4 linked regions of the Oreochromis niloticus genome follow. The protein of the gene in region 2 interacts with the protein of the main gene of each other region in a pairwise test. Links are inferred from orthologs where the notes say so. Each region holds a gene or a part of one and is shown on either strand. Other genes may lie near its edges. The genes, in order: ncoa5, ntaq1, rpia and gnmt.

The links.
Region 1: the proteins of ntaq1 (region 2) and ncoa5 interact in a two-hybrid assay, tested with the Homo sapiens proteins (3 studies listed by BioGRID and IntAct). The two-hybrid records come from large-scale screens. The link is inferred for Oreochromis niloticus from reciprocal best matches to the Homo sapiens genes NTAQ1 and NCOA5.
Region 3: the proteins of ntaq1 (region 2) and rpia interact in binary tests that used the Homo sapiens proteins (3 or more experiments, as listed by UniProt). The two-hybrid records come from large-scale screens. The link is inferred for Oreochromis niloticus from reciprocal best matches to the Homo sapiens genes NTAQ1 and RPIA.
Region 4: the proteins of ntaq1 (region 2) and gnmt interact in binary tests that used the Homo sapiens proteins (3 or more experiments, as listed by UniProt). The two-hybrid records come from large-scale screens. The link is inferred for Oreochromis niloticus from reciprocal best matches to the Homo sapiens genes NTAQ1 and GNMT.

Annotation. Positions count from the first base shown.
Region 1 is NC_031970.2:8,753,713-8,761,354, reverse strand, and holds the start of ncoa5 (nuclear receptor coactivator 5), read left to right. Parts: upstream 1-4,623; 5' UTR 4,624-4,776; intron 4,777-6,330; 5' UTR 6,331-6,389; intron 6,390-7,642. Other genes in the region: capza1a (F-actin-capping protein subunit alpha-1), read right to left, coding at 728-790, 882-953, 1,040-1,118, 1,258-1,337, 1,425-1,631, 1,770-1,833, 2,183-2,234, 2,326-2,389 and 1 more. UniProt on the Homo sapiens protein: Nuclear receptor coregulator that can have both coactivator and corepressor functions.
Region 2 is NC_031985.2:36,120,663-36,128,610, forward strand, and holds the start of ntaq1 (protein N-terminal glutamine amidohydrolase), read right to left. Parts: upstream 3,008-7,948; 5' UTR 2,914-3,007; coding exon 2,858-2,913; intron 1-2,857. Other genes in the region: ribosome biogenesis protein bop1, read right to left, coding at 3,950-4,103, 4,201-4,308, 6,392-6,476, 6,641-6,932, 7,033-7,219, 7,923-7,948. UniProt on the Homo sapiens protein: Mediates the side-chain deamidation of N-terminal glutamine residues to glutamate, an important step in N-end rule pathway of protein degradation.
Region 3 is NC_031983.2:7,547,052-7,554,060, forward strand, and holds the start of rpia (ribose-5-phosphate isomerase), read left to right. Parts: upstream 1-3,994; 5' UTR 3,995-4,090; coding exon 4,091-4,273; intron 4,274-5,213; coding exon 5,214-5,274; intron 5,275-5,489; coding exon 5,490-5,545; intron 5,546-5,679; coding exon 5,680-5,739; intron 5,740-5,969; coding exon 5,970-6,034; intron 6,035-6,114; coding exon 6,115-6,183; intron 6,184-7,009. UniProt on the Homo sapiens protein: Catalyzes the reversible conversion of ribose-5-phosphate to ribulose 5-phosphate and participates in the first step of the non-oxidative branch of the pentose phosphate pathway.
Region 4 is NC_031983.2:26,632,565-26,640,034, reverse strand, and holds the start of gnmt (glycine N-methyltransferase), read right to left. Parts: upstream 3,017-7,470; 5' UTR 2,633-3,016; coding exon 2,424-2,632; intron 166-2,423; coding exon 38-165; intron 1-37. UniProt on the Homo sapiens protein: Catalyzes the methylation of glycine by using S-adenosylmethionine (AdoMet) to form N-methylglycine (sarcosine) with the concomitant production of S-adenosylhomocysteine (AdoHcy), a reaction regulated by the binding of 5-methyltetrahydrofolate.

The sequences.
Region 1 (7,642 bases), on a different chromosome or scaffold from region 2:
GTTCTGGTCTCTACAGAGACTCTCGCATGTCATACCAACTGTGTTGTGGGTGAACTTCTTTCTATATCTCAGTCAATAAATTAAACACTGTTAACGTTTAAAGTTACAGAGCTTGAATGCTTTGACTAACAGGTGTGCTGACAGAGACAGCTATAGCCCGTTGCTGTCTGCTAGACGTCACCTCCACTAATTACAGTTTGTTTGCGCTGCTGGTGCCTTTTGAAGCTTTTTTTAAAAGATGGAAAACAGTTGCCTAAACAGTGATGTTATGCATATACAGTCCTTTGAAATAGCTGTCAGTTCCAGTTAATAATAAACATGCGTTTTATTTTTATTTTATTTTACAATGTTCACTCAACACCTGAAAATAGATGTAATTATTTAATTAATGATTCTGATTTCCGACTATTTAAAACAACACCTTTAGTCACTTGTTTTATAACACTATGGTGTATATACCTAAAAATCTTGCGGTGGTCATTTGGCAGCCAAGAGTGCTTACAAAAATAATGCCATTAGCAGCTTCACTTACCAACTAGGAAATAAAAAAATAAATAAAAAAAATGTGTGTTTCGATCAGTCTTCCCCTTTTAAAGATCACCTATTGTTCTATGCACAGCTTGTTGAGGATCTTAGCCAGTAGGAAGTACATTTTATACAACTTGCCACAGCTCTTCTGTGGCTTTATTAATTTTTTTTCTCTCAAACTGAGGCAATTCCCACATACCTGGTACTCATTTTCTGCATCTTCAATAATTTTTACTAACTCCTTTGCAGTCTGGCTCTCGTTCTGCCAAAAATAAACATACATGAGTTAAACAGATCCAAACAAAATCAACGTGTTCTTAAACTTTAGCCCACAGACATAGAACAACACTTACAGACACAGTCAGTGATTTCTGTACATCTTTATGGCTGACCAGCTGCACATTTCCATCCTCATAATAATGTACCTGTGGTAAGGAGAGGAAATACAACATTGAAACAAAACTAATATCAAGACTATTCTTAAATTCCACCAAATAAAAACTTAACATACCTGTATTTTCAAGACTCCGGCAACCTGTGCTGTAGGCTGTGAGACACTGAACTTCCACTCAGACCGGCAGCGACCGTTCCTGGTGAAGGAAAACGCAGAAGGCTATGCTTGAAAGACGATCCCAAATGCATAATTACGGATACACTACATCAACATAATTCTTTGGGAAAATCTGATAAAGACATTTAGAAAGAGATCATTATCCTTTCTCAACTTACCAGAAGTTTTTAGGCTCATATTGATGGCCCTCGATACAAGCGATAATGGTCTTCTGGCCATCAATTGTTTTCCCATAAACCTGAAACAAATAACCAGGAGTGGGTGATTTATTATGCTTAAACTCAACATGACAGCCATAGTGCAATGAGAGAGGGAGTGATCTTACGGTGGAGACTCCACTGGGGTAGTGCTCCTTGACGTATGCCCTAATAGCAGAGTCACAAGCATCTCTCCATGAGCTGAGGGCTGCCTCGCCCTGATGGGGCTGAGGATCGCTGGCCTCCTTCCTCAGGTGGTCAAACTTGAAGGAGATCTTGTTGTGGGGGTCAAAGAAACGGCCATTACCCAGGTCTCCATGCTCTGTTATCAGAACCTGCAGGAGACCAGACAGACAAACCTGCTGTTACCATGGGAGTTCATTCAAGTATCCTAAGATAAATTAAATTGTAGATTCAATAATAATAGCAAATTATTTGAATGCTTAAAAAAAAAGAAAAAGGCCAAAACTTGCCGGCTCTTCATATCCATCAATTTTGGCACGGGTGAACTGATCCATGTTGTACTGGGCAAAGGCACTATAACAAAAGACAATATAACCATAAGCTGCATTCATATCTATAACATTGTTGTTATTCTTAGATTCTAGAGTAGTGCTACATGATCTGATACTTGGCCCTTTTTGACCATGTAAAGAATAGCAGATCTTAATGACATCATGGAGAACCACGAGTAGCAAAAAATGTCTGAAATTCAGCAGTTACTACAGTCTGAAGCCTGAGATTCAGCTTTGGACTGCATAAGCATGTCATCTCATTATTTGTAACACTGACCATGTTCCAAATAATGGAGGAGAGTAGAGTAATAATTGGTTCCCTTTAAAAAAAAAAGAAAAGGAAAAGAAAGAAGCTAAAGAAGGAAACTTACTGAGCTGCACCCTCTCTGAGGAGATTATCATTGTTGAGCAGGAGTCGCACATCTGAGAACAACAAGTAGTGGAAGACAACCATAAACACATTTTTCTTTGCACATGGGTTGCAGTTAGTACACAAGGTGTAACCGGGGTTTACCGTTGAAAACTTCATTGAACTCTCCTGGAGGAGCATGCATCACAAAATTAGCTGCGATACGGACCTGGAAATAAATAAGACATGTTGTCATGAAAAAAATAAGAAAGAGTGCCACATCATCAATGGGAATCTGCACTTCATCTCTAAGAAACTTTGGTGTTATTTAGTCTTGCTACAGTATCCATTTTTATAAAGATACAGATATAGTAGGCAATTTATATGAACAGATTAAAACCTGCAAATAACCACTAGAGTGAAGCAGAGAGTACTGGGTACTGTACTGTACTGTACTGTAACTTTCTTGGCCAGAGGCTGGTTAGCTCTATTTCAGCCGCTCCTTAGATGGCAGTACATGTCATCCAAGGGCTTTTCTTAGCAGCCACCCAGTATGCATGTGCAAGCATGTGGTGTCAAAGCCCTAGAAAGAAGTGACTGAGGCAGGTACTATGCTCTCATAAAGTAATACTCAATGAGGACCGCAAGTTGTACATTTATACCAGGCAGCTCATTGTAAAATCTGAAGTTAAGTTGTTCTCTATAGAGGTTACAAGTTCCCTTTTTTAAAATCACGAATTTGCCACCTTCACTGTATCCCTTTGCTAAACCCATGACGTCACTATCACATTGTAGTATGATTTTGCCAGTGATGCTATCTGTCAGGCAGACAGGATTATTAAAGCCTTCAGGCTGCAGCTGGCGCTGACCTACAATTGGGCTGTCCTGCTGAAAGGGCAGAAGGACATTACAATGAATAACCCAGTTTAAGAGTGGTGCAGGCATTGTGGCATTCAGAGCATACAGCACACTCTCAGGCTCAGACTCAGCTTCTCCATCGTGTATTTCAAACGCAAATGAACACACTATTTACGCAGACTCTTCAGAAAAGTTAAAATGTATTATTTTAGTGTAGATATCACACCAACCTATTAATCTTATTTCGAAAGATTCACTGAAACTACTTAAATAGTTAAGCTCCTGGCCAGATATCAGCTTCAGGAATGCAATGCGCTATTTTACAACATGTTGCAGCATGATACAGACAGCAACACCAGTCACTGCAAGGCTCAGTAACACTGCAGGGAGACAGAAGACCTACCCTCCTTATGCGTTTCTAAACCAAAAATAAGTATCGGGTCTTCAGTGCATAAAATACCCACAAACTCATTTGTGTGGGTCAAGCTTTAACGTCCGACGTTATCAAAACCGGTTGAGGAAGCTAAACGTGAAAGTGAACAGGGTGTGGGTGGTGTTTTGCTATCGATGCTCTGTCATTATCCTTGGTGTAAATGCAGGAAGTAGCTGGACTTCCTTCGATTTAACAGTTGCCAACCACTGCAAAGTTAAGAGCAAAATCAGAAATCGACGTTAGCCGTACGCTGAATATGGCTGCTATTTAAAACGAGTAATTTAGTTAAGTTACTCTATGTATAAGAACATAACAGCTTCAGCTCCGAGCTGTCAAATACAGCCCTGCCTAGGTTTAGCTAGCACCCAACAAACACCTACCATAGCCCTACTGGTAAATTCATACGCGACTTTAAAGATCCCTCCGAGGTCTGCAATTGTTCACGACAAAGGTTAGAGCTAAACCGTTGTTATTGTGAGGATTATTAATATAGCAATACCTTCTCTTCATCGCTGAGCTCTTCGAAATCTGCCATCTTGGCTCAATGAAGCGTTAACAAAGCGACGGTGGATGTTGCCAGGTATGTGGGACTGACTCCTCCCAACACAACGACCGCCCAGTCCCGGAAACCGTCTGCCCGAGCCGGTAAAACAACAACGTTCACGCTGCCGTGAGCACGAATGTGTAGATTTAGACAATAATTATAATATTAGCATATCCTCATACATTTTGGAAATTAACATGAAGTACATTACATATTATAAAATGCCGAAATTCAGGGATTGTAATGCTTTGTTTATTTTTACGTACAAACCGAGGGGACAACATCTCAACCTGGCAACCTTGCTACCTTCCAGTCATTTGAAGCAGCTAAGCTATACTGAGTCAAAATAGCGTGAACTGATTATTTTTATTAATTAAGCAAAACATTGCAAAAGAAGAGAGACTGGTTTAGAAAATACAATACAAATTACAACGCATATATGCAAATTATTATTTAATTTCCTTTATATAATTTGTTAGAGGGTTAAAAAATACTCCGTTTAAAAAAACCGTATATTTTTCTGGTAATTATTTTTAATGGTTCAGGCTCTAAAGGTCTAAAATTCGTTTTATTGATTCGAAGGGCATACTGCACGTATTTTATGTTTAGCCAATAGGTGGCGATATATAGGCTAAATGAAATGGTAGTTACATCCACACAAGGGGTAGAAGAAGATATCAGGGCCAGTTGCTGTAACTAAAGTGAAGAAGAAGCGCAGCATTGTGAGCGGATAGTGGTTGTCCGTGGGTGGCTGAAAATTAACACGAAATAGACTTTGAAGGTAAGCACATAGTCGCCCTGTCGTTCTTGCTATAGCATTGCTTGCAGCGAACCGTGGATCGTAAAGCATTTGCAGGCGTAACTGTGAACCTATCTGTTTGGTTTTAACGTCCCTCGTTAAGGTAGCGTTAAGAAGCTAACCGCCGACATTAAGCTAGCTCTATGTAGCTACTCCGTAACCACGCTATTAAAACGTCTCTCGGAATGGCGGTGTATGAGAGTATTGCTTTTAATGTTAACCGACTTAGTTTTATGAGCAGTGTAACGAGTCTATTTTTGGATTACATAGCTGGTGCTGTAGCGTGTAAATCGTTATTTATGAGGCGGCCGGAAAGCTTTGACGAAGAGTCCGAATCGAAAGCAACATTACGAGCCGCGGTCGGATTTGTGTTGCTAAAAAAGGCGTTTGGTGAGAGGTGATACACTTGACTGGCATTTGAAGTTTCGCAGTGCTACTTTGCTTTGCTGGTTATTCAGTTATTTTGTTTAACCTTCATTTATACAGACGATCCAATTGAGATTATAATGTCTCATTTACAAACATGCTTCAAATTTTGTTCATTTATTTTCTCCAGTTAAATCAAGGCACGTGAAATACTTACAGCTAATTGACTTTTTTGAGGTTTCTTAAAAAAATATGTCTTTGTTCCTAGAAGCAGCTTATTTTTAATACTTAAAATGACTTGTTGGTAATCATAGGACAGTGGCCAAACCGGTTTGAACCGAAGGCAATATTAAGTCAAGTAACTATTTGTTACAACCAACGTAAACAAAAGGGCATCTTTGATCGCACGAAATCTCAAACCTTGGTGCAGATGGGCTACAGCAACAGAAGACTACACCAAGTGCCATGCCCATCAGCTAAGAACGGGAAACTGAGATTACAGTTTACACAGGGTCACTAATATTGGTCAAGAAATAGAGTAAAACATTGCCTGGTTTGATTAGTCTGGTGTTCTGAATTTGCTGTAACTAACATGAAAGTATGAATCTGGCCTAACCTTTATCAGTGGTTCAGGCTGGTGTTGCTGGTGTGATATTTTTGGCAGGATATTTTCTTGGCACATGTTCTTTGGTATCATTTGAACATTGTTTAGCCACCCGGACCTACCTGAGAACATCTCAAACTAGTTTCTTGAACATGACAATGTTGCTGTTGACACTGTGCTCTTGGCCTCCACAATTACCAGATCTCAGTCCAATAGGGCACCTTTGGAATGTGGTGAATGATGAGGTTTGCATTGTGGATCTGCAGCCGACAAATGTACAGCAACACTGTGATGTTATCATGTCAATGTGAACCAAAATCTAGGAGAAATGTTTCCAGCAACTTGAATTTCTTCCATGGGAAATTGAGGCAAAAAGGGATTTAACCTAGTTCTGTGGTGTAACCAAGGTGTAACTAATAAAGTGGCTGGTGTGGAGACTTGTTATTGTGAATCAATTTATTCAATAACTTTCCGAAAGGCTGTTTGAGACTATATTTTAGAGCATTTCATTTGATTAATTTCATAAGCTTATTGTAGTGTTTGTATCTTCTTCTTTTTTTCCCCAGACACACTAGTTTCTAAATTCAGTGGATGCTGAATCCAGGCTATCCAGGTTCAAGTTAAGGTATGTAAGGAGCTGCTTCCTGAAAGGTTTATGTAAATTCCTTCAAGTATAAATGCAATGAAACTCTCTCTGGTCTTTCTGCTGTATGTATCTTGAGACCGAAAAACCTCTTGCGGTTCTGTTGTCCTGAAATAATTTTATATTGCGTTATCTAAGGTAGGGCTGCACAATTAATCGTTAGAAAATCGCGATCTCAATTCATACTTATGTGCGATCTCATTTCCAAATGACAATGATTTTTAAAAAAAAGGAAAAAGATGACGATTGTACCGCATTTTGATCCGGGACATAATCTGCATGAAAACAAGCGCTCACTCTTCCTGCTCAATAAATGACAAGGGCGGAGCCTTATACCACGTGAAACAGAAGCCAGTTGGCAGGGTAAAAACAATGGAGAGCACGTGAGAGATGACGAAGCTGTAAAGGCCAAGAAAGTGACAGGAGAAAATCCGTCCCGGTCAACCACCCAAACATCAATAATGGGAACCGTATACAGCGTTTCCCCATAGCCGTCGAACTCCCGCAGGCACAAAGAAATTACGGAGGCTATCACTTATCACCTGGCTAAAGATATGGCTCCCATCAACACTGTGCAAAACGAGGGATTTAGGAAAATGATCAACACCCTAGACAAACGCTACACAGTGCCGTCCTGCAACTATTTTTTCAAATGTTGCACTACCTGCTCTATACACGCAGTGTCGAGCAACGGTGGAGACGGAATTACAAGCAGTACAACATTTTGCGGCAACGACAAAATGTGAGACATTTATTGTTTTTATGTTTATTTATTATTTTTATGTTCAGTCTCAACTGTTACGAAGTTGATGTGCAGTTAATAAGTGCAATAAATATTTATATTGGAAAAGAAAATCGTGAGAGAATCGTGATCTCAATTCTAAGCAAAAAAAATCGTGATTCTCATTTTATGCAAAATCGTGCAGCCCTAATCTAAGGCACATAATACGCACATTTCTCCTAAGGACTTTTAAGGAAATTGCGCTGTTTTAGATTTTGGCATTTTCAGAGTGACCCCAGGAACGTGATTTCATTTCAGCTAATCTGATTTTCTTCAAGACGGCGTTATTTCAAGAGAAGAGGACTGCATTTATTTCACAAAGGACTGTTGTGAGACCCAATGGGGCTTATTTTTCTCGGATGGTGTGACTTTAAATTTGCACCACGAACCTTCTAAAATATTTCAGTCGTCAACTATAACTAGAATATATCTCACTCTGAATCCTGAACATCAG
Region 2 (7,948 bases):
TAGCGTGTTTGGAGGCTATAGTTAGTTTGTTGTATAGTTATTGTTTTGTATTGTGTGTCGGTTAGACTGCTGAATTTCATATTTGATCTAAAAAAGCTGTCAAAGGCAGATTCCAGTGTAAACGCTGTCTCCACATAGAAAACTGGACTGTTGCACCTCCAGTTGTCAGACCTGCAGGGTTTAGGCCTGTGGTGTTCTCCTCTGTCTTATACTGAACACAAACTACATTTTTTGGACTGGCACAAATAATTTGTGTGCCTTCTTATTTGATGCAGCACACCTGATTGTTCTGTAAATAGATTTAAATGGTTATATAAAAAACGCCTGAGGCCTTGGCTGCATTTTTAGGTAAATAGTACCATATAACTTTGTTGTTTGCAAAACTTGTGCATAATTTTTAGAAATGTACAATTTCTATTTGCATTTCAAGTTATGAAAATGATTCGTTAAACATGTAAAAAAATATAACTTTTTTCTACTCGGATTCTGAATTTTTTGTCTGAATTTAGATCAACTGTGCTAATATAGTATACCAAAATGAAAAAAATAACTCAAATTTCAGATATTTGAGGTTGTGCTGTAAATAATGATACCAAACAAGGCAAGAAAAACATATTTTAAAAGTGAAATATAGAAGTAAAATCAAAAGTAGTCAAGAACGGCCAATTATACCCGGGACCCCAGAGGGTTAAAAAAAAAAGACTTGAAAGGACTTGAAATTCAAAGTTTCGGACTTGGGACTTGACTTGAAAGTTGTCTGTCTTGACTTGCGACTTGACTCTGACTTGCTTGACTTTACTTGAGACTTGACTTGTGACTTGAGGATAAAGACTTGGGACTTACTTGAGACTTGCAAAACAATGACTTGGTCCCACCTCTGGTTGTATGGGCTCAAAATGTGGTCATAAATATTTTGTACTTGTAAATCAGTTTTGTACTTGTAAATCAGGATTTGTATGTGTAAAAAGAATTTGTGCGTGCATAAAAAAGATTTGTATGTGTAAAAAAGATTTGTGTGTGGACTTAGCCAAAACCCCCCCTGCAAGTTACAAGTATGAATTTGGACCCTATTTTTCTTCCTGTCATCTGATTGGTCAATGTCATGTCAATCACAAATGTAACAATCCAATCAGAGAACAGATGGGTTTGGCTGTCGGAGGGGCACTTTTTTGAACTGCAGGTCCTTGAAGGGAATAAATGCCCTTTTATATGCCAACCCAGCGTTTTCCTTCATCACCACGAAGGAAAACAGTCTGTGGTCGTCCGAGTTTGGTGATTTTTGTGTCACAGGTCTACGTGCTTAATACAGGGACTTCCACAGCCTTTTCAACAGCGCTGCGGACCGGGGGGGGGGGGGGGGGGGGGGGGCAGTGTTTTGGAAATGACAGTCTTCATTACAAAGCTTTCTTCGTTATGAATTAGCATACATGTTTTTATTGAACATTTGAAGAACTAGCAAAAAAACCAGAAACTGTGGTAGAGGACATAAAGTCAGAGATAGAAACGACAAGGAGCAGGTGCATCTAGTACAGGTAGAGCTGCTGCAAAAACCCACAGAGCTCAGCAGCCAGCGCAACAAATTCTGGATCCTTTGCTTTTAGTTAGCAGTTAGCATTAGCAGCACATCCTGCGTCCGATGTGAAAGGACCTTTATGCTGCGCACTGTGACTCACAGCAATGGTCCCGGGTCAGCCCTGACTTTGTGTTAAACTAATCCTAAAGTAATAATGGTATTTCTAACCACTGACATACCACAACTTTATCCTTTCAACAGCTGCTGAAAGTAAGGGGACCTAGCTGCTATCGGATATTTATATAGAGATCCTCCAGCTTCAAACTGTATTACCCTTCAAGGACCTGCAGTTCAAAAAAGTGCCCCTCCGACAGCCAAACCCATCTGTTCTCTGATTGGATTGTTACATTTGTGATTGGCATGACATTGACCAATCAGATGACAGGAAGAAAAATAGGGTCAAAATTCGTACTTGTAACTTGCAGGGGGTTTTTTGGCTGAGTCCACACACAAATCTTTTTTACACATACAAATCTTTTTTACGCACGCACAAATTCTTTTTACACATACAAATCTTTTTTACACATACAAATCTTTTTTACGCACGCACAAATTCTTTTTACACATACAAATCTTTTTTACACACACACAAATCTTTTTTACACATACAAATCTTTTTTACGCACGCACAAATTCTTTTTACACATACAAATCCTGATTTACAAGTACAAAACTGATTTACAAGTACAAAATATTTATGACCACATTTTGAGCCCATACAGTTGACGCGACACAAAGTAAACTGCACGCTTGAAATCTGTGTAATAAAATGTATGAGGGGAATGATAACGAAGACAAGATTTTCCAGATCGTTGACTCTTGCTGTCTAGTGAACAGCATTGTGACGTTTGTCTTGTATTATGTTCATATGGACATAAAGTCAGAGAGATACATGTTTTGAAAAGACTAGGAGCAGGCGCATCTAGTACACGTAGGGCGGCCGCAATAAAGGACGTACCAGCAGAGCGCAGAGGCCAGCCAGCGCAACACGTAGGTCCTTCCCTCTAGTTAGCGGTGAGCGGAGCGCAAGCCGCGTCCGCTGTCTGGGAGGATTATTCCTTACAATGATATTGTGATTTTTATTCTTATACTGACAAATTTTTTAAAAAAAAAACAAAAAAAAACTGCGCTAAAAGGAAAACGGAAATCTGAACTGGCCAATCATAGTGGTTGCAGCTCCTTTGACAAGGCGTGTGTTTATAATTCTCAGGAGCCAAGTAACGTCAGGTAATGTTCTGACACAGAGCCTGCACGGTCACCTCTGGGAGGTATGTCGGGACTCACCAGTAGCAGCTCGTGTACACGCAGTCCTCGCGCATCGGAACGAGTCTCCGATTCATGATCGGGTGTTACACTGAAAGAGCTCCAAGGGAAACGGACTGACACCAAATCCGCTAAGGAAAGTGGACTTTCAAATTAAAAGCATCGACAAACTGGGGTCCAACTGCTAATTTAACTTCGCTGCCGCCACAAGAAATGAGCTTCAGTGCTCCCTTAGTTACCTCCTTTATTTGTGACGCTGAAGCATCCTTCATGAAAGGAGAACATCGTTTATAGCAAAGTACCATAAGAGAAACAAACTGACCTCTGAACCTGTTAGCTAGCTTAGATTTTCAGAGAATAACTAAACTTTAGCAGTATACAGTCTCCCATCACTCAACTCCTTCTGCTCAGCACCATAAATCATCAGAAAATAATTGAAATACAAACTCAAAAATGTATTTTTGTAATAAAACATTTCGGCTTTTTTTTTTTTTTGAAGACTTGTCAAATCTCTAAGGAATTTTTATTTTTGTAAACATCTGCACTGCAAATTTCACAAGTTTTATTAGATTTGAGATAAAATACTTAATTTATACATTTAACTGAACAAATCTGTTCATGTCAAATTGATTATACGGTTAACTAAAAATTATATGAATGAAATTTTTTCACTGAAATATAAATAAAACCCAGACAGATCTGGATCATCACTCCAGAAACTAATTTAAAACAAACTAACGAGCAAATCGAAAACCAGAATAACTGGTGAAATGGGCGGGCTTGACAGGGGGTCCAGGCTCCTCAGCTAACTCTGTAAAGATGGCTGCCATGATATCTGAACTTAACATCTTAGACCTGATCGATCACCCACAAACAGCCAATTAGGCATGTTTTTATTCATCTTTAATGGCCCTAGACAGGAAAGGGATGTCACACTGCTGATCAATGTCAGCTCCTTTCACCAGACTGACAGCAGACACACACACACTCAAAAACAGTTCAGTTTATTCAAAAAGGAACTGACATCACAGCAAGGAAAACAGTGAGGCAAGAACATTGTGTCTGAAAGTAAAAACATTAGGAAAACGGCATCTGTGGTTGCTAAGCACGTTGCTATGTGAAGAGGCGGATAGTAGCATCGGCGCCAGAGGAGAAGACCCAGGGTTGCGTGGGGTGAAAGGTCACATCCAGAACACCGAGATCATGAGTCATCACATGACCTCTGAGGACTTTCACTGGGACGATGAGTGGATTCTGCAACAGGTCACTGTGGGGGTAGCAAGGAGGGTGGGGTTAGAGTGCAACTGAGAGGAGGAAAAATAAGTGCGCGTGTGTGTGTGTGTGTGTGTGTGTGTGTGTTTTACTTGTAAACAGTCCCATGACAGACGATCACTGAGCCATCATCGGACGCCGAGGCAAACAGCGGGTACAGTCTGTGATAGGCCACACCCCTCACTGCTTTCTTATGGTGTCTGTAGAAAGAAGGTGATCCATATCACATGATAAATGATTAAAAAAAAAACCAAAAAAAACCCCACATCTGATCAATATGTAGTATTCTACAATCAATGATACACCAATATCAGTGCCCTGATTGAGTAAACACACTTCCACATACAACATACATCCTCACCTTCCTGGTGCAGGTCTGACTGAAATCTTATATTTCCTAAACTCCTGCACCTGCTAGGCTGTGAAGGCACTGCAGATCTTTTTTTTTTTTTTCTTCTTCTTTCTTTCTTTCTTTCTTTCTTTCTTTCATTTAAACAATGCTGCTTTATGTACAATTCAGCTCTGGCTATGCAAAATTCTGTTGGCAGCAATGTATAAAATGTGAAAAATACAAGCTGAACACAAGAGGGAGCATTATAAAATAAAGAGCTATAATCATTTTAAAACCGGGATACCATACAAATAAACTACATGGCAGTTCAGAATAGAGAGTAATTCACACTTTTCTTAGGTTTAAAGGTAACCCAGACACCTCAGAAAATATGTGGATTTTGTTGATGACAAGAGGGATTTGTTCTGACCTTTTGAGGAAAACTGTAGTATCATCTGCCAGCTGAGTGCTTAGGTCTATACATGTGACATTGTGATTTTCATATAGTGAAACGTTCTTTAAAACAAACTGAGGTTGCATGAAAACACTCTGTAGGTTAGTGCAGGATAGACAGGTTAAACAGTGCACTGTCAGTGTGAAGGATGGCAATTACCCAGGACAACTCAAACTCACAAAACACTTGTTAAATTCAGGTGTGTAAAGAGCAGTAAACCTCAGGGCAGCAGCAGTAGCCCAGATCAGCTGATCACAGCCTGTGGACTAAGAAAATGTACTGGAGCTTTCAACAGAAATGATTGTGAACTGTGATTGTTTTCCTCACACTGAACTACTGCAACAAGCCTTTAACCACCCACCTCACCAATGTGAGCTATGGTCTGAGTAACCCCCATCACTCAGGCCACTCACACATGGACTCTATTCAGTCTTTTTCTTTGCACTACTTTGAAGCACTTTTCAAGTTGTTCTCTAACTTGGGCATTTCTATGTGCCTCCCACTTTAATCTCTTCCTTACTCATTTTCTGTTTAGAGACAAAGTCACATTCTACAATGTAGACAACAGAAAATAGAGCCATTTTCCCCTTCTTGTTCCTCTGCTTATGTTCTACTTAACTGATTCAAGCTGAGCGCATTTATTATCATCGAGACTAACATGAAATTTGTATTCTCATCTACTGCATTAATATAGCAGAAGGTTTATTTAGCTTTGCAGAAAAATAGGTGGTAGAAATGTTCTTTAAGGAGATAGTTTTCAGAGCCTGTACTTTTTCTGTTGTACTTGAATAAAGAAGTTGAATCAGTACTTTTACAGGAGTATTTTTTTTTTAAATACTAGTACCTGTACTTCTACTAAAGTACAGAATGTCTGTACTTTTGCCACCTCTGCCCAACCAAACCCAAATCAGCCTCCTCCAACAGGCTCTTCAGCCACAATCTCTCCAAATCTGTAATTAATCTTATAAATATTCACTTGTTAACTCTAACCCACCGGTGCTTTACCTGTACTCAGCATTGATGCAGCTGTCTGTGAATCTACTTAATCTATAACTTCTGACTAAGTCTAGTCTAGCTGTGTTAGATACTCACTCTAACAACACCACCATCTGTAAGGCAATGCGTAAAGCTGCAATATTTGTAACCGTGAGAGTTACTAAGTAGTAATAATAATAATAATAATAATAATAATAATAATAATAATGGATTGGATTTATATAGCGCTTTTCAAGGCACCCAAAGCGCTTTACAATGCCATTATTCATTCACTCTCACATTCATACACTGGTGGAGGCAAGCTACAGTTGTAGCCACAGCTGCCCTGGGGCAGACTGTCAGAAGCGAGGCTGCCATATCAGCCACCATGTGAAGAAACCTTGACATCCGTCCTGGAGATCAGGTCTGAACGAAGACAGGAGCACTCAAGGTCACCTGCAGCTGACAGCTCATGTCTGAAAGGGTTAAACTCAGATGATCAGAGCGACTGGCAGGTACGCACCGGAGCATCTTGTAGGGTTTAGTTGACAGATCAAGGTCGAACCAGCTCAGCTTGCAGTCATAACTCCCACAGATCACATGATCACCTGCAGACACACGAACAGACAGTTGGGACAGCTGTGAAGAGAATACTGCGCGTATAAATACAAATGACTTTAGGATGAAGCAGCTGCGGTGAGCTAAACGACCATTGTGGCGGGTTTATTGGAGCCTTTAAGACTTGTGTGTGGGGGACTGGGGATATGGTTACCTCCCGGATGGACAGCCATGCTGGAGATCCACTTGGAGTTGGCTTGGAGTTTTTTGGTCATTTCTTGTTTGACGAGGTTGTAGATGCGGATCGAGCGCTGTGTGGCCACAAAGAAATAGGGCCTGATTGGGTGGAAGGATACGCACTGGACCAGGCCTTTGTTCCTGCTGAAGGGGTTCTGACTCCGCCTCCGGCTCAGCTGGTGGATATACACCTGCAGGTGGCTCGTGTTATCTGGCATCACTGATGCTAGATAGTCTCCTTTAGCATGCCACACCACCTGGTGAACAGCCTGCAGAGATCAGCAGCGATTAGGCCAGGTGTGGATCAGAGTGGGGGGTTTAAACAAACAAACAAACAAACAAACAAACAAAATCAGGTGGTTTTCTCACTTTGGGGTGTTGGATTTTGAGGCGGACCCCCTGGTTTAGCTCTTCCCCCTCAGCCTCGCTCCAGACAACAGACCCATTTCCTTCTGCTGGCTCCTCCCCCTCCTGTTGGGCGCTGAGGAGTCGTTCTGACGACAAGATGACCTGTTTATCTGCCAGAGAGGGAGACAGGATCAAGACCACAGAGTCCCTGAAACCAGAGAGACACAGAGGGACAGGATTCACATCAGAGGGAGAGGAGGGATGAGTTTAAAATCCTGCTTGTGGTTTCTAGAGTATTTAAAAGTATAATGGAAGGCAGAGCCTTAAGCTTTCAGGTCTCTCTTCTGTGGAACCAGCTCCCAGTTTGGATTCAGGAGAGAGAATGCTCTCTACTTTTAACATTAGGCTTAAAAGTTTTCTTCTTGATAAAGCATATAGTTAGGTCTGTACCAGGTGACCCTGAATCCTTCCTTAGTTACGCTGCAATCGTTTTCATAAAGTTGGATGTCCACAACAAAAAAACAACAGCAACAGCAAAAAAAAACAAAAAACACTACCCCAGTTTAAACCATCATTAGAAATCACTGAATTAAATTATTAATACATGCTCTCTTCCTCATATGACATCTTTATCCCCATCATGCTCCAGGGGTTATGTGATTGATGGGATATTTTCTGTATTACACTAGGACAGGGGTGGGCAACTCCAGGCCTCGAGGGCCGGCGTCCTGCAGGTTTTAGATGTGTCCTTGATCCAAGACAGTTGATTCAAATGCCTAAATTGTTCAGAGGCTTGAGAACGAACTAATCATGTGATTCAGGTGTGTTGACAGACGGAGAAACAGAGAGAGACAGAAAGACAGAGATGATAAGATATAAAAGAGACAGAGCGATGTCAGAGAGGTGCTCACAGGGCAACAGCCAGCAAACAGACAGA
Region 3 (7,009 bases), on a different chromosome or scaffold from region 2:
GTCGGTTCCTAGACGATGTATTTGGTGAAAAAACTGATTATGTGAGGGTAGCCAGTAGTAGCCTCAGTGTGGGTACAAAGTTCTCTCCGTGAATACAGTGAAATGACATTAAAGAATCATATAGAAATATCAGTGTTTCTTCGTGTGTATAGAAAATGTACAATGATTTAAAGTAAAACCCAGGGTCAACCCTGAAGTTACCCACATAAGCTTAAAGCCTTTCTTCACAGTATAGAGGCCTATGAAACAGGATTTTTGACTTATCCAGATAACTTCAAAGCTGATCCTAAAGTTATCCAATTTTTTTAACAGCGTGACTTGACACTATACAAGGACATTTTAGGTTTAACATGATCTACTTTCATGTAATGAAAACGCTGAAAGGCGTTTAAAAGGAGGAGGTGCTGAGGAAGCCTCCGTTACTAACGCCGTTAAAACGAGTTTTTCAGCAGCAGACTGAAGGCTGACGCATTGGCTGCTCTCACCGTTGTCGCGCGCCCCGCAGGTAAAGTTAATTAGTTAGTTGAACTGAAAAACTTTCAAATAATCCGCTTTTCTGTCGCTTGGAACATTTTTGGCGATGTCAACAACAAATCCGGAGGAGCAGTCGCTGGGGGCGGGGCCGATGGAACAGTAATTTCCGGTGACGTCATGGGCTTGCCTTTGAACCTTTGAACTTTCCTTTGACGTCGCCAGCTCCAAACCCCTTAAATACAACAGTCCTGCTTACTTTTTACATGCTTTCACAGTGGAAGGTGCATTTCAGACGCGTTCAACTCAAAACATACCAAATTATCATTTAACTCATCCCACAAAATTTATAAAAAATGGAAGACAAATACTTAAATACTGAGGACATTGAGGAAATCACAGCAGCACGTCTTTATCCTCTGATCAAATCTTTTTTTGAAAATTTGACGGCTGTGCAGTGGCATACCATTAGATCAGGAGACTTGGACATTGCCACTAAGAGTCTTCTAGGAGAGCTCATTGTAGGGATAACTGAAATAGGTGTGAAACACTTTGAAATGATGACTCAGAATGCCAACACTGAAATATCAGAAGATGGTGTTTTGAGCAAAATGAGTACCATAGTTCCGCAGGCTTTTGCTGAAGCTTTGGAAACGGTTCCTCAGGCCGACAAGGAAAGTACTGAAAACTTCCAACATCTGCTTGCTAAGGAGGTTGTGCTAAGTATTATATCTGCACAGTCTTCTGACAGCAAAACAAGTTTTGGAGAACGTGAGCACATCCTTCCTCCAAAACGGCTGAACAAAATGATCCATTTTGCTGGGAGAATGATTAGAGCTTTCATCTCCAAGATGAATTATTTCAGCACGAGCACTGATACCAGTAGCTCCAGTAGCTCCAGTGATTCAGATGAGGACACTAAAATGTTAGATAGTCCAAGTGTTCCAAAAGAATATCTGGATCAAGGATATAAAACACCCACGATAGGCCCCCAGGACAGCTTAGATAGTGAATTTCTAGAAACTGTGAAATTTCACATCAAAAATGCTGCTGATAGTTTTATGCAAAATTGGAAAAAAATTATGTCTCCTCATTATAACAAGGAGCAACCACAAACAACTGAAGAGATTGAGGAAATTGCAAGACAGCTCACATTCTTAGTTGAGGCAAAGATTCAATGTTCTCTAGAGCGTGGTGAAGTTACCACTCCCGCATCATTTGCAGAGAAATGTAAGCAGTCGCTACAAAACAACGCAGGTAAGCTCAAAACATTCTTTACGAAGCAATTTGCAAAAGCGACAATTCTTCGCATTGCCAAAAACACCAGGGCTAAATTCCAGAGAAAGGAGAAAGTTGAAAGCAGTGAATCGGTGGAGGAGCTTGTTAATGATGTCGACTTGCTGCTTCAGACTGTAAAAGATCGTAATTCAAATGAGTTTGAACTATTTAAACAAATTTCGATCGGCAAATCTCTGGAGTTCACCCAGGCCCTCACAGACATGCTAAATAAATATGCTGTAGGGGACATGGGACCTGAAACTTTACCTGATTGTTTCAGAACAGCACATGTAAACCTACAAGTGAAAGTTTTCTTGGCACTCATGAGATGGTGGTTATGCACCCAAGCTGAGAGCCATAGTCAGAGTGTAATGCTTGCAATACTTGGGACTCAAGAACCACAGACAGAAACACAGACACAACCACAGACACAACCACAGACAGAACCACAGACACAACCACAGACAGAAACACAGACACAACCACAGACAGAAACACAGACAGAAACACAGACAGAAACACAGACAGAAACACAGACACAACCACAGACACAACCACAGACAGAAACACAGACAGAAACACAGACACAACCACAGACAGAACCACAGACACAACCACAGACAGAAACACAGACAGAAACACAGACACAACCACAGACAGAAACACAGACAGAAACACAGACAGAAACACAGACACAACCACAGACAGAAACACAGACACAACCACAGACAGAAACACAGACACAACCACAGACAGAAACACAGACACAACCACAGACAATGGAAAGTATTCCAGTTGTAACGTCCCAACCAAAACCTGAGCCGTTTGTACTAGATGATCCTGTACACAAAGCTTACATTAAAATAGTCCTTCATAAATTATTTAACCGCATAGCTAAAAAATTAAAGATGAAGTGCACTTGTGTAGGCACACAGAAGATCCACACCTGGCTTTTGGAAGAAGTATGGGGCGAACTCAGGGATAAAAAACTTACTATAACTCCACAAAACCTAAAAAATCTGGAAAAGTACATTCTTAAAGACTTGCGCAATTTCTTTGGGAGTGTCGAAACTGTTCAGGTTGCTCTGGAGTTACAGAAATCCACAGCTGTAAAAATCATTACACAATGCTTGACTGAACATCTGTCAGACACAAAAAAGAAGCCAAATGCCATTGTCAGGTTTTTCACTGCGTTGACCAAAGCCATCACCAAGCCATTTAGACGCACAACTTGAAGTGGTGGTTTTTAACATCAACTTAGTATTCATCTTGAAGGAAAAACAGTCATCTTTTTCCTTGCAGATGAATACCGAAATACATAACATCAAAAATGTCGTAGCAAGAGAGAAATTTGATTATAACTGGATTCAAATCCCCCAACCGGTCTCGGCAGATGGCCGCCCGCCTGAGCCTGGTTCTGCCGCAGGTTTCCTCCCATTAAAGGGGGGTTTTTCCTGCCCACTGTTGCCAAGTGCTTGCTCATAGGGGATCATAAGATTGTTGGGGTTTTCTCTCTTGCATTGTAGGGTCTTTATAATATAAAGCACTTTCAATCAGCTTTTGTTATTGGGCCCTATTTAAATCAAATTGATGAGCAATTTGAGAAAATTTTCCAAATCAATAAAACAAATTCTAAATTTTAACTTGTATTTCTGTCTCTTTTTATTTTCTGATTGTCATTGGATTGTCTTTTAAATGAACATCTACTGTGATTTTTAAATTAATATCCATTGGTCCTTGTATATAATAAAAATATTGTTTCTTACAAATAAATACTGTTAAATGAATAACTGCTCACTATCAGTTTTCAGGAAATGAATAATGTTGATCATTTTTCTATTAATGGAAAAATGGAAAACTTCTGCTGACATATGAGCTGTTTATTTAAAAAAGGACAAAGCCTTATATGCCATACATACTATATAAACAACATATATAAACAGATTTTCCAATATAATATTTACCTTTGAGTTGTTGGTGCTTTGTAAATGGAAATCTCCAGAGACGAGAAGATGGAGCAGGTTTGCAGTCCTGGTTCAGTCTGCTCCTGCATTGTGGTCACCAACATACAGCAATGTTAAAGCTGCTGCCTGAGTACTGAAAAACAAATATTAATGCTGCAGTAATTAGAATCAAACTTATAGCAAAGGAGACCCCTTGAATATAAATGATGATAATTAAAGAAAGAATCTTTGGGAAACAAAAATTCGAGGACAAATTTTTATTTTATCCACTAACATGGAGGAGGCGGGGTTTATGACTTACACTGCAGATCTATTTTTTTTGAGGGGAAAGCTGTCCGCGGCGGATCTGTCTGTCTCCGTGTCTTGTGGGCCGGGTCATGACATTTCAGGGGTGGGTCTCCTTCAAGAAGCACGCAGCTGGATTTGTGTGTGTAGCATCCCGGAGGCTGGTGGTTCCCAATAACTATAAGCACGTGTGTCTGTTCAGTCAGTCTGCAGCTAACATGGCAGAGGAGGCGAAGAAGCTAGCTGCTTACGCCGCCGTGGATAACCACATTCAGGTACAGCAGGCTCTGTTACCGTTCACTCTCTGCTAGTTTGTCGCTTACTATAAACAGGATTTGAAACAGTAGTATATAGTCTTATCTGCGTGTTTAGCAAAGTTGGCTAAATATACAGCTACAAACCAGCTTAGTGATTTGTTACCGTTATCTAACTTGCACGGTTTGGAAGCGAATTAGCTGTGATAGCTAGCTAACTTTGCTTAGCATTAAGCAGTGCATGTTACAACATACAGTAAGTCGCTAGCTAAGCGGTAGCTGTATTTGACAGAGCCGTACACTGCTGATTTAACACGGCATAAGTCTCAGAACTGTAAAGGCTACGTGACTGCCCCATGTGTACATTTCTACATGAACTAACCGCATCATGACCGCTCACCAAATGTCACATTAAAGTCTCGACGGTATCCATTTGGGCCAAACTAATGATGATATGGGGGGTTCCATATTAACCTTTTACTGTTGTGCATTTACACTCCTGCACCTCCCCTCGCCTCTGTGTTCAGGGTTTAGAAAATCAATCTCATGAAGCAAAACGCTGTTGAGCAATATAGAGCAAACAAGTCTGCTTAAGAAGTGAGCTGTCTGCACGTTGGGTTGAATAAAAGACTTGAACAGAAGAGCCAAAACCAGCAGGTCTGAAGCACATGCACGTGTCCAGGCTGTTCTAGTGGGAGAGGCTTAGATGAGACAGGAGAGAGCTTTCTACCTGCTGAAACCTAAAATCTTGGTATCTTGTGTTTTAGTCATTTTTAGTATGCCAATACAGGAAATAAACACTCAGCATTCCTAACAAAGTAGATTCATGATATGATCATTATTATTATGACTGCAGTAAATTAAACTCTTACACATCTTTTGGTGTTGTTTGTTTTTCTCCTCACATGCTCAGGATATTTAGCCTCACTACATTTGTTTAACTTTATTTTTGTTTTTCTAGAATAATCAGGTTGTTGGTGTGGGCAGCGGGTCAACTATCGTCTACGCTGTGGATAGATTAGGTGAGGGAAACATAACCTTTGACTGTACGACACAAGATAATACACCATCTCTACAGGAAGATTTGAAGCTCTGCTCCAGTTGTGACACAGAGCAGAGTTTTTTTTCTGTCTTAACAACACAAGCAAATTCCTAAATGCAGCACCATTTGGGTCTTTATCAGAATTCATCAAATAAAGCACTAATGGCCCTTGTGTTTTATCCCTCCCTCTTCTAGCTGAGAGAGTGCGTCAGGAGAAACTCAATATTGTTTGTGTTCCCACCTCCTTCCAGGTTGGTTTGCATATTTCACAACAGTGTGGAGCAATATGACTTTGAAACATCATTTCCCCTTACTTAAAACTGTGTGTTTTTTCTTTCCTCTGCGCTTTTGTTCTGCTGTTTTTGGGGTTTTTTTTGTCCCACAGGCTCGTCAGCTGATTCTGCAGCATGGCCTCACTCTGTCAGATCTGGACAGGCACCCCGAGGTATGATGAGCTCATTGGAAATCAATCTGAAAGCCCTGATTTCCTGTCTATCTCTGCTTACTATCAATAAAAAAGGGGCAAAACCCAACCAAATAAATAAAACATGATTGGGAGAGCTGACTAAAGCATTTCCTACATTTAGGGAATGGTTCAGGAGTTTCTTTTGTATATACCGGTATCTGTGCTCAGTGGTCTGCTTGCATAAAAAATCGCCGCCTTTGCTTTTGCAGCTGGATGTGGCAATTGATGGAGCAGATGAAGTGGACGAAGACCTCACGCTGATAAAAGGTGGAGGGTGAGTACAGTACAGATGTCTGATTGCAAGCAGCGTCTTTCCTGATTTCTGTCATTCATCTTTTTCTTCTTCTTTCCCAGTGGCTGCCTGACTCAGGAGAAGATTGTAGCCGGCTGTGCTAAACATTTTGTTGTAATTGCCGATTACAGGTGTGTATCGGTGAACCTAAATGTCAGATGTTAGAGAAAGTGTGGTCATTCAGAGGTGTAGTGTTACGTATTGAAGTAGCAGAACACAGGTTTCCATGTGTGCACTGGAGTTGTTGCTTGTTTCCAAGCACATGTAAAGACTGTAATAGCAAAATGGTCAAACTTTAGCAATTCATATTTTATATATTTATGAGATGAACCAGAGTTCTCTACACATAACAGGCAACTTGGCAAAAGATGTATTTTAAATTCTTTCGCTGAATCTGTGATGATGTTTGTACCATCCAAGTGATAACCATTGAGCTTTTAAACGTGGCCTATCTTGCCTAAGAGTTAAGGCTGTTTTGAATGTTGTATGTTTCCATTTTCCCAGCAAAATATAAGGGAATGAAAGGGGGTAGCTCAGTAGTGTACTTTATTTTTACCAGGGTTGATCAAATTACTTTGTTACAACAGAAAAAATGAACCACACAGGACTTAACCTGTGCATGATTCCAAACATCCACCATATAAACCTGACCTGACCTTTAGGATGTACAGGACATAAAACATTATTAATATGAAGATCTTGACTATCTGGGTATAATTAAAGGTGCACACTTGGGCTTTTTAGGGTGATGGGGTCTGGCCACCCTGCCAGGCGGGTGAGTGATATGGAAACCCACGTTTGCAAATTTAACTTGAATGAGGAGATGTAAGACTTTCAAATTCTTACCCAAAAAATCTTGGGACAAGTTTAAATCCTGGTGACTTTGACCTCAGGAACCATGTAATTCTACTATTTATTAAAATATTGTAGAATTCAGACATCTGTTGAGGTGTTATT
Region 4 (7,470 bases), on a different chromosome or scaffold from region 2:
CCGATTCAGTAAATATATATTTTTTTAATTTTCATACCCCACTGGTCAAAAGCTGGTTCTTTTCTCCTGTCCCATCTCGCCTTCAGTGCATACTTGAGCATTTTGTCGCTGGCATCCACACTCACCAAATTAAACCCCTCCTCCACCAACATAATGGAGTCAATCCTGGAAAACAAAATCCATGAATACGTTTAAAAACAACAACCGACCTGTGAGGATCATGATTTGGTGCAGTAGGTGTGTTTAGATTTTGAGGGTAATCCCTGCTGTCATCTTCCCCTGAAAAAACAGTTTGATCAAGTCTGAGTGCGAGTGTGTGTTTGCTGCGACCGCACTACATGTGGTTTAGTAGTAGGTTGATAAGCTTATCGTCACACTACAGACAGGAATTGTAACCTTGTCACAGGTAAGGAGAGATGATTTGTATGGTAGCGAGAAGCTACTACTGTTTTGAAAACCTGACAGGAAAACGTGATCGCGGGCCAAACCACAGCCTGAATAGATGCTACTGACTGACTTTCAAAAATGTTTTCTCTGCTATTTATGAGTTAATAATAAACAATACAGACGTGTTTCAGTGCAACAGGGGAGGGATTCAATGGACAATAATGCAGAAATCATTAACATCTACCGGGTAACTGCAAGATAATAGATAACAGCAAAACAAAGCTTATGTAAAAAGAACAGCCAGTTTTCCAGTTTTGGATTAAACAAAGTCTTAGGCTAAAAGCAAATTCACATCTTTTAGTTTTCATCTTGGCATCAAATCTCAAAGGACTCGATGCCTCTACAAGAGGGATCAACACCATTTCCTCTAAAAGATGGCCCTTTTATTTGGTTCAACTGTGAGTCTGGTGACTGTGAAGGCCTCAACTTAACAGATCCAGCATAATCCTTAAGGTATGAGTCAGGGATTCATGGTTTCCCTTTAATTTGTCTGTATGCCTATCCATTCTGCAGTTATACATAAGACTTCCTGCCTCAACCTATGGAATCCTAAATTAAAAAACTCTCACAGGTTCAGGTGAAGGTGATGACGATCCACAGCCTGCAGCTTCTTCTCAGAATTAGAAAGCACCACAAACGCACTCTGGCTGCCAAAAATAGCTATTTGTAACCGTGATCCACGAGGAATATGTTTACTTTGAGGCTGCTGCACTACTGAGGCGCACCACTACTAGGGAATGGGGTCAGAATCAATGTGCTGGGGTGCTCCACACCGTAGGAAGACAACCATGTGGCCTGAGATGTGGAGCTGAGTTATTATGGAGATGACTGCAGTTCTGACATGAACATTATAAGCTCTGTAATGTTGATTAGCAGGTGAAATGAGTGCTAAGTGATGAGCAAAGAAAAAAAAGGTACATTTATGATAAACATCAAACAATAAAATGGTTAGAATGCATCTCCAGTGAAAATTCTCCATGAGAAAAACAACAGCTGAGGTGACGTATATGGTCTGCTTGTCTGTGCTTGGGCAATGGCCTTGCTGCTGTGTGAGAGCAAAGTCAGAGTATCAAGGGAGATAAAAAAGACTGCAGGAAACCAGACAAAACTCCTTTCAGCTACCCAGCACTAGTTCATCACCCACTGACCTACTAAGTGCAAGTTTACGGTTCGCTTGTGTTTAGTTTGCTTTAGAAACAGGAAATTTAAATGGACAACACTTGCTGCTTCAAGCTTGTGTCACAGACATATTACACCTCTGTAACTGAATCACATTTAACCAGCATGTGTAAACCCGCTGTGTCTACACCAGACCAGTGCAGGAGGCAGGACGTGGCTCAGGATCAGGTGCAACTCTGCACTTTCATTCATTATTCTGTGGCTTAATCCGGATTTTGTCCCGAGTTAAAAAGGGTCAGTGAGTTGAAATTCCACAAAAGTCAAACTCACTTGAACGGCTATAAAGTTGGGTACACGTACAAAAAGGCCTATGTGAGCTGAAATCACTTTGTTTTTACCCACATATCTATCAAGTACAGCAAAGAAGCAAACACCATCATCACTATCAGCTACTCCTACACAACTCTGTTCTGAAGCTGCACAATCACTGTGAATCACACAAGAGTCACACCTTCTCACATATTTGAAAAGCAATAATGTAGTCTGAATCGGCACGATTTATGGCGTCATCAGCAGCTGTTCACCTGCTGAATCATTGTGAGCTCAGGTTTTTGTTTGGCATATGCAGTTTAAATCAAAGTTTAACCATTAACAAAAGCGTGCTCGGGATACTTGGATAAAGCCGTATTTAAGATTTTGTTATGGAAATTTCATAACGTTTTGGCTTATGTTTTTTATATTTGATTATATTTATAGATACACACTAAGTCGAACGATTTTTAAGTGGATTTTGATGAAGCAGAGCTGAAGCCCCTGTCAGACGTGCTAATAAGACTGCTAATTTGACCTGACATTACCCTGTTCCGCAGGCTACATCCAGCACACTCCGCACCCCGTGCTGCTTCAGCAGGGACACCACCCAGCTCCTGTACTCCTGCGTCCTGCTCTTCGTGTCTCCGATGTACAGCTGCCACACTTTCGCTGCTTTGCCATCGGCGTATTGATCAGGAAGACCTTCGGCTGCCACACCGAGAGACCGGGTCCTAAACACGCTGTCGACCGACATACTGCTGCCCGTACCTGTACCTCTACCTGAGTGTCTGTTTGAGCGGACAAACAAGTTTGGACTATTTTAACTGGGTGAGGAAACACGCTACCTCTCTGACAGGTATGCTTGCCACATGCTAGCCGAGATGTTATTATTTATATGAACAACCTAAGACAGAAACTTTAACCCAATGACACGCCGTCGAGCACCGCCGCCTACTTTCTGATTGGATAACCTAAGGGGAGCCCGCCCCTTTTCTGTTTAGCATTGGAATACGTCACTCGAGTGAAGCTTTGCTAGGTTGCCAATTTTTCCCCTTGAGCTTACCTTCCAGGATAAGTTCCACACTGTATTCCATCAAAATTAAATTAAATACCTCAACACGTGCATATTAAAGTTAAAATTAAGTTATGTTTGACGTTGGAGGAGAAGTATTTATTTAAGTATAATGTTAAAATAAAGTAGAGCTCACGAAGCCCATTACCTGTAAGGTTTTACTCAGGGAATATAATCCCACCAACAGTGGCACAGAGGACTCGCCCCCTTTAACATTTCATCATCTATCGTTTGATCATGCTGTTTGGACGCATTGCTTGCGAAACATGCATAGTAAGAGGTTTTTGCAAAATTAAAATCCTAATAATTTCATTTTTTAACAATGAAATGCACAGTGCTGCAGTAGTTAAGTGCACAGGGTGTAATGTAGGTGAACAATGTGATTTAAAAAAAAAAAAAAAAAAAAAAAAGATGGAATAAAATCATCTCAGGACTCTCTTAGGCACTTTTCGTGCCCTTCCAAACAAAGTGAACTCCTCCTGCTGTGATTGGCGGATTTAGTTCTGTAGGACCCATATTTACTGGTAGAGGTGAGGTCATGTCAGCTACAACCAGTGCGAGCTAGGTAAGGTTTGCAACTTCCAGTTTTTTCAGAACTGCACTACTACCTTATGGGTTGTTCACGCACACATACACACTTACTACTTTCAAAAATCCAGATCTGACTTCGAACACAGGCATAGTTATGTAATTCAGCCTAAGCAGGAGTTGGCAAGAACGCACAGCACTGCCTAGAGGAAGTCACACATTAATGCACCTTTGGTCTAGTCTGCCAAAAAGACATTCCTTCCTGTGGTTGTTTTGATGATGGTGGTGGAGAACAAAATGACTCACTGCGAAGGACACAGGACATGATTCAGATCATTTTTATCCTCGCTGACACGTCATGACATTTGCATGTGGGCATTGTCATGGTTGATCATAAAGTAAATCACTAAGGCTACGTTCACACTGCAGGTCTTAATGCTCAATTCCGATTTTTTTGATCAAATCGGATTTTTTTTGTCTGCTTGTTCACACTACAAATAAAATGCGACAGCAGATTAAACAATATTGTTTGACTGATGGCCCTTAATATAAAGACTTCGGACTTTACGTTTCCCAATTTTTGCTTTAAGTTATTTTGTTATTTACATAATAATGTAAATAACCTAATAATTATCGTTATTGCTGTTTTAGAGGAGCGGTGCTTCAAAGGATAGCTGCAGATTTCTGTCAGAATCTGCAGATTATACAGTACAAATAAAATGTTCACGTTGTCTTCCCAACAGTTTCACTGACATCTACACTGGATGGCCAGGAAGCGTTCGCGATGTCTTCTCGGGCGCTTCTCCGGCGCTGATAATTGGTGTCTGTCTTGTGTCAGTGACGTAAAAGACGGATTTAATGCGACATGACCGTTCAAACAGCAGTCGCCTTCTAAAACATCAGATATGTATCGGATTCAGTACCACATACGAAAGTGACCCAGATCGGATTTGAAAATATCGGATTTGTGCCGTTCACACTGTCATACCATGATCGGATATGGGTCGCATAGGGTAAAAAAAAAAAAAAAAAAAAAAAAAAAAAAAAAAAATCGGATTTGATGCGCTTTCGCCTGCAGTGTGTACGTATCCTTAGGCTTAATATTAAGGGCCATCAGTCAAACAATAATGTTTGCTCTGGGTCTAAACAGAGCGCGTTGTGTGTGACATCTTCTTTTGCTCATGCGGGCCGCTTTGAGCGTTCACACTAGAGCGCGTTTGCTGTCGCATTTTATTTGTAGTGTGAACAAGCAGACAAAAAAATCGGATTTGATCAAAAAATCGGAATTGCAGTGTGAACGTAGCCTAAGAGCAACCTTGTAGCATTTTGTATAATCTTTGCTTCTAAAAGAATAAATGGACCTAAATCATGGCCAGAAATTGCACCCCAAAGCTTAACAGAATGAGCAAACAGTGGTTTAGTTTTTGCTTTAATTTGTCACCTGCCCGTATACACAGTCACTGAAAAGATAAGTGATGATCAAAGTTCCAGTCTGAGTACACACAGGTGTGTGTGTGTGTGTGTGTGTGTGTGTGAGAGATATATGAGAGAGAGACTCTAATACAGTTTGTTGAATGTATGCGTTAAATTAATCATTGTATCCCTTCTGAAGTATTGCGTCAATGCTCTTGTTACAACTTGAAACAGGAAGTGAGTGCTGTGAAGTTCAGAGATTAGTCAGATGGCGGAACAGATGAAAGGGAAAACGGTTACATTTCAACGTGTTGTTTTCAGTAGGACCGTGATTGACACCACTTCCAGCGCAGAGCCAAACTTTGCTGGAAATCACCTCCTATCAATCAAATCAAATTTAAGATTGACACAGTTACTGCCAGTTTGTCGGCTGCACATCATGTGAATCTTTTATTCCACCACATCCCAAAGGTGCTCTGTTTGACTGAGATCTGGTGAATGTGGATGCCATTTGAGTACAGCGAACACAAGTCATGTTCGAGAAACTAGTGAGATGATTAAAAGTTTTTGGTATGTGGTGTTATCCTACTGGAAGGAGCCATCAGAAGTGGGGTACACTGTGCTCATAAAGAGATGGACATGGTCAACAGTATTCAGGCAAATGTGCAAACAAATGTTGCAGCAGAAACAGAGTCCGGAGACCGGCTGATGGGTTGTTGAAGCGACCTGGAAATTTCCCTTAGAGCTCTGACATCAACAAAGGATTTTTAGCCAGTAAACTGCCGCTCGCTGGATATTTTCATTTTTTCACATATATATCATCTGTAAACTCTGGATATGGTTGTGTTCTAAAATCCCAGCAGATCAGCAGTTTCTGAAATACTCACACCAGCTCGTCTGGCACCAACAACCGTGTCACTTTCAGAGCCACGTAAACAACCTTCCTTCTCTTTACTGATGCTCAGTTTGAACTTCAGCAGGTTGTCTTGACCATGTATACATGCCTAGGTGCAATGAGTTGCTCAATTCTGATTGACTGATCAGACATTGTTAGTGACGAGTAGCTCAACAAGTGTACTTAAAGTGGCCAGTGAGCGCGAACAGATGAAAAAAATGGGACAAATAATTTTTTGCTAAATAAAATTGAAAGAAAAACACAAGTCCGATAATTTATTGATCAATACACCTACAACGATGTCCATGTCTCTTTATTTATACAGCACGTTTCATTACATGTTGCTTAAGAAAAATACATTTTAAAAAATGTAGGTGTACAGTGTCTCAAGGCCATAACAACAAAAATAATAATTAATATTAGAGATATTTTATATTTTAAAACAGTTGTTACTAATGCTATGTGATTAGAAGATACAGCTTAAGTAATTCTGTTTCTGTTGGAACAAACTGTAATTTCCCAAATTACAATTTGACTCAGTTCTGACTGCCTTCCCATACTTTTTTCAGCACTTTGTTCTTGAGGACAGTAGATGGTGCTATAAGAGCAAATATGAATGAACTCACACTTGAACATGACACATAACTGACCATAAAATTACCTCAAAAAAAGACCTGAAATAAAAGTATACACATGTCATATCTTTAAAACTCATTTGCAAGGAGTTAAATGTACAAATATGAATGATTATAGAAAAAGGTCAGCATGAACATATTTATACATATGCTGTACGTGAAGTACACAAGTATGTTAAGGAGTGTAAAAATTGTTTGATTACTTTTTGAATACTCTGTACCATTTTATATACTGCTATATTATATGTTCAAGCATTAATCAGTTCATAAAGATGTTTCGAAAACTGCTTTTGGAAGAATACAAAACTGATAAAGTTGATGACTGATAGTGTGTATGTATAACTATGCCAAATTGTATCTGAATTATAGCTATCAGTGTAGCTATCTTTATACTTGTCCTTCATTCCTTATTGTGTGGGATAAGTGATGAGGGGAAGTTGGGGTAACACTGAATATGGTGATTCAGTAGAGTGAGCGTGGGGTAGGGATGAATAAGTATGTAACATACTTCTTCCTACTCCATTTCAGACTTAACGGTTGTCATTTCGTGTAATTTAGAATCTGTTCATTTTATTTTAACTTTTGTTTTTGTCTGAGAACGTGTGTGTATGTACATATATATTCGTATTTGTACATGTAAATGCAAGTGTGTGTGTGTGTGTGTATTGGTTTGTTGTATATATCTGAAATAAAGATGATGATGATGATGATGATGATGTAGTAGTAGTAGTAGTAACAAGAACAAGAGCACATTGGTTTTCCTTCATATAAGCTCGGAAATTATGTAATAAAATAAAGGTGTAAACCTCCTAAAATGATAGCTGTTAAAATGTTTCATATATCCAAATGTAGTTCTCACTTTTCTTGTTTTCCAAAAGGAAAAATGAGACGTGAAACATTTGGAATTCTTTACGTTCATCTATACATCTGGCCAGTTGTTCATCTAACCTACAATCCTTTCTGACTAAAAACACACAAATTAAAGCATGATTAATGACTATAGGCTCAGCCTGCTGGTCAGGCTTCTGAGAAAGCAAATATGACTGGAG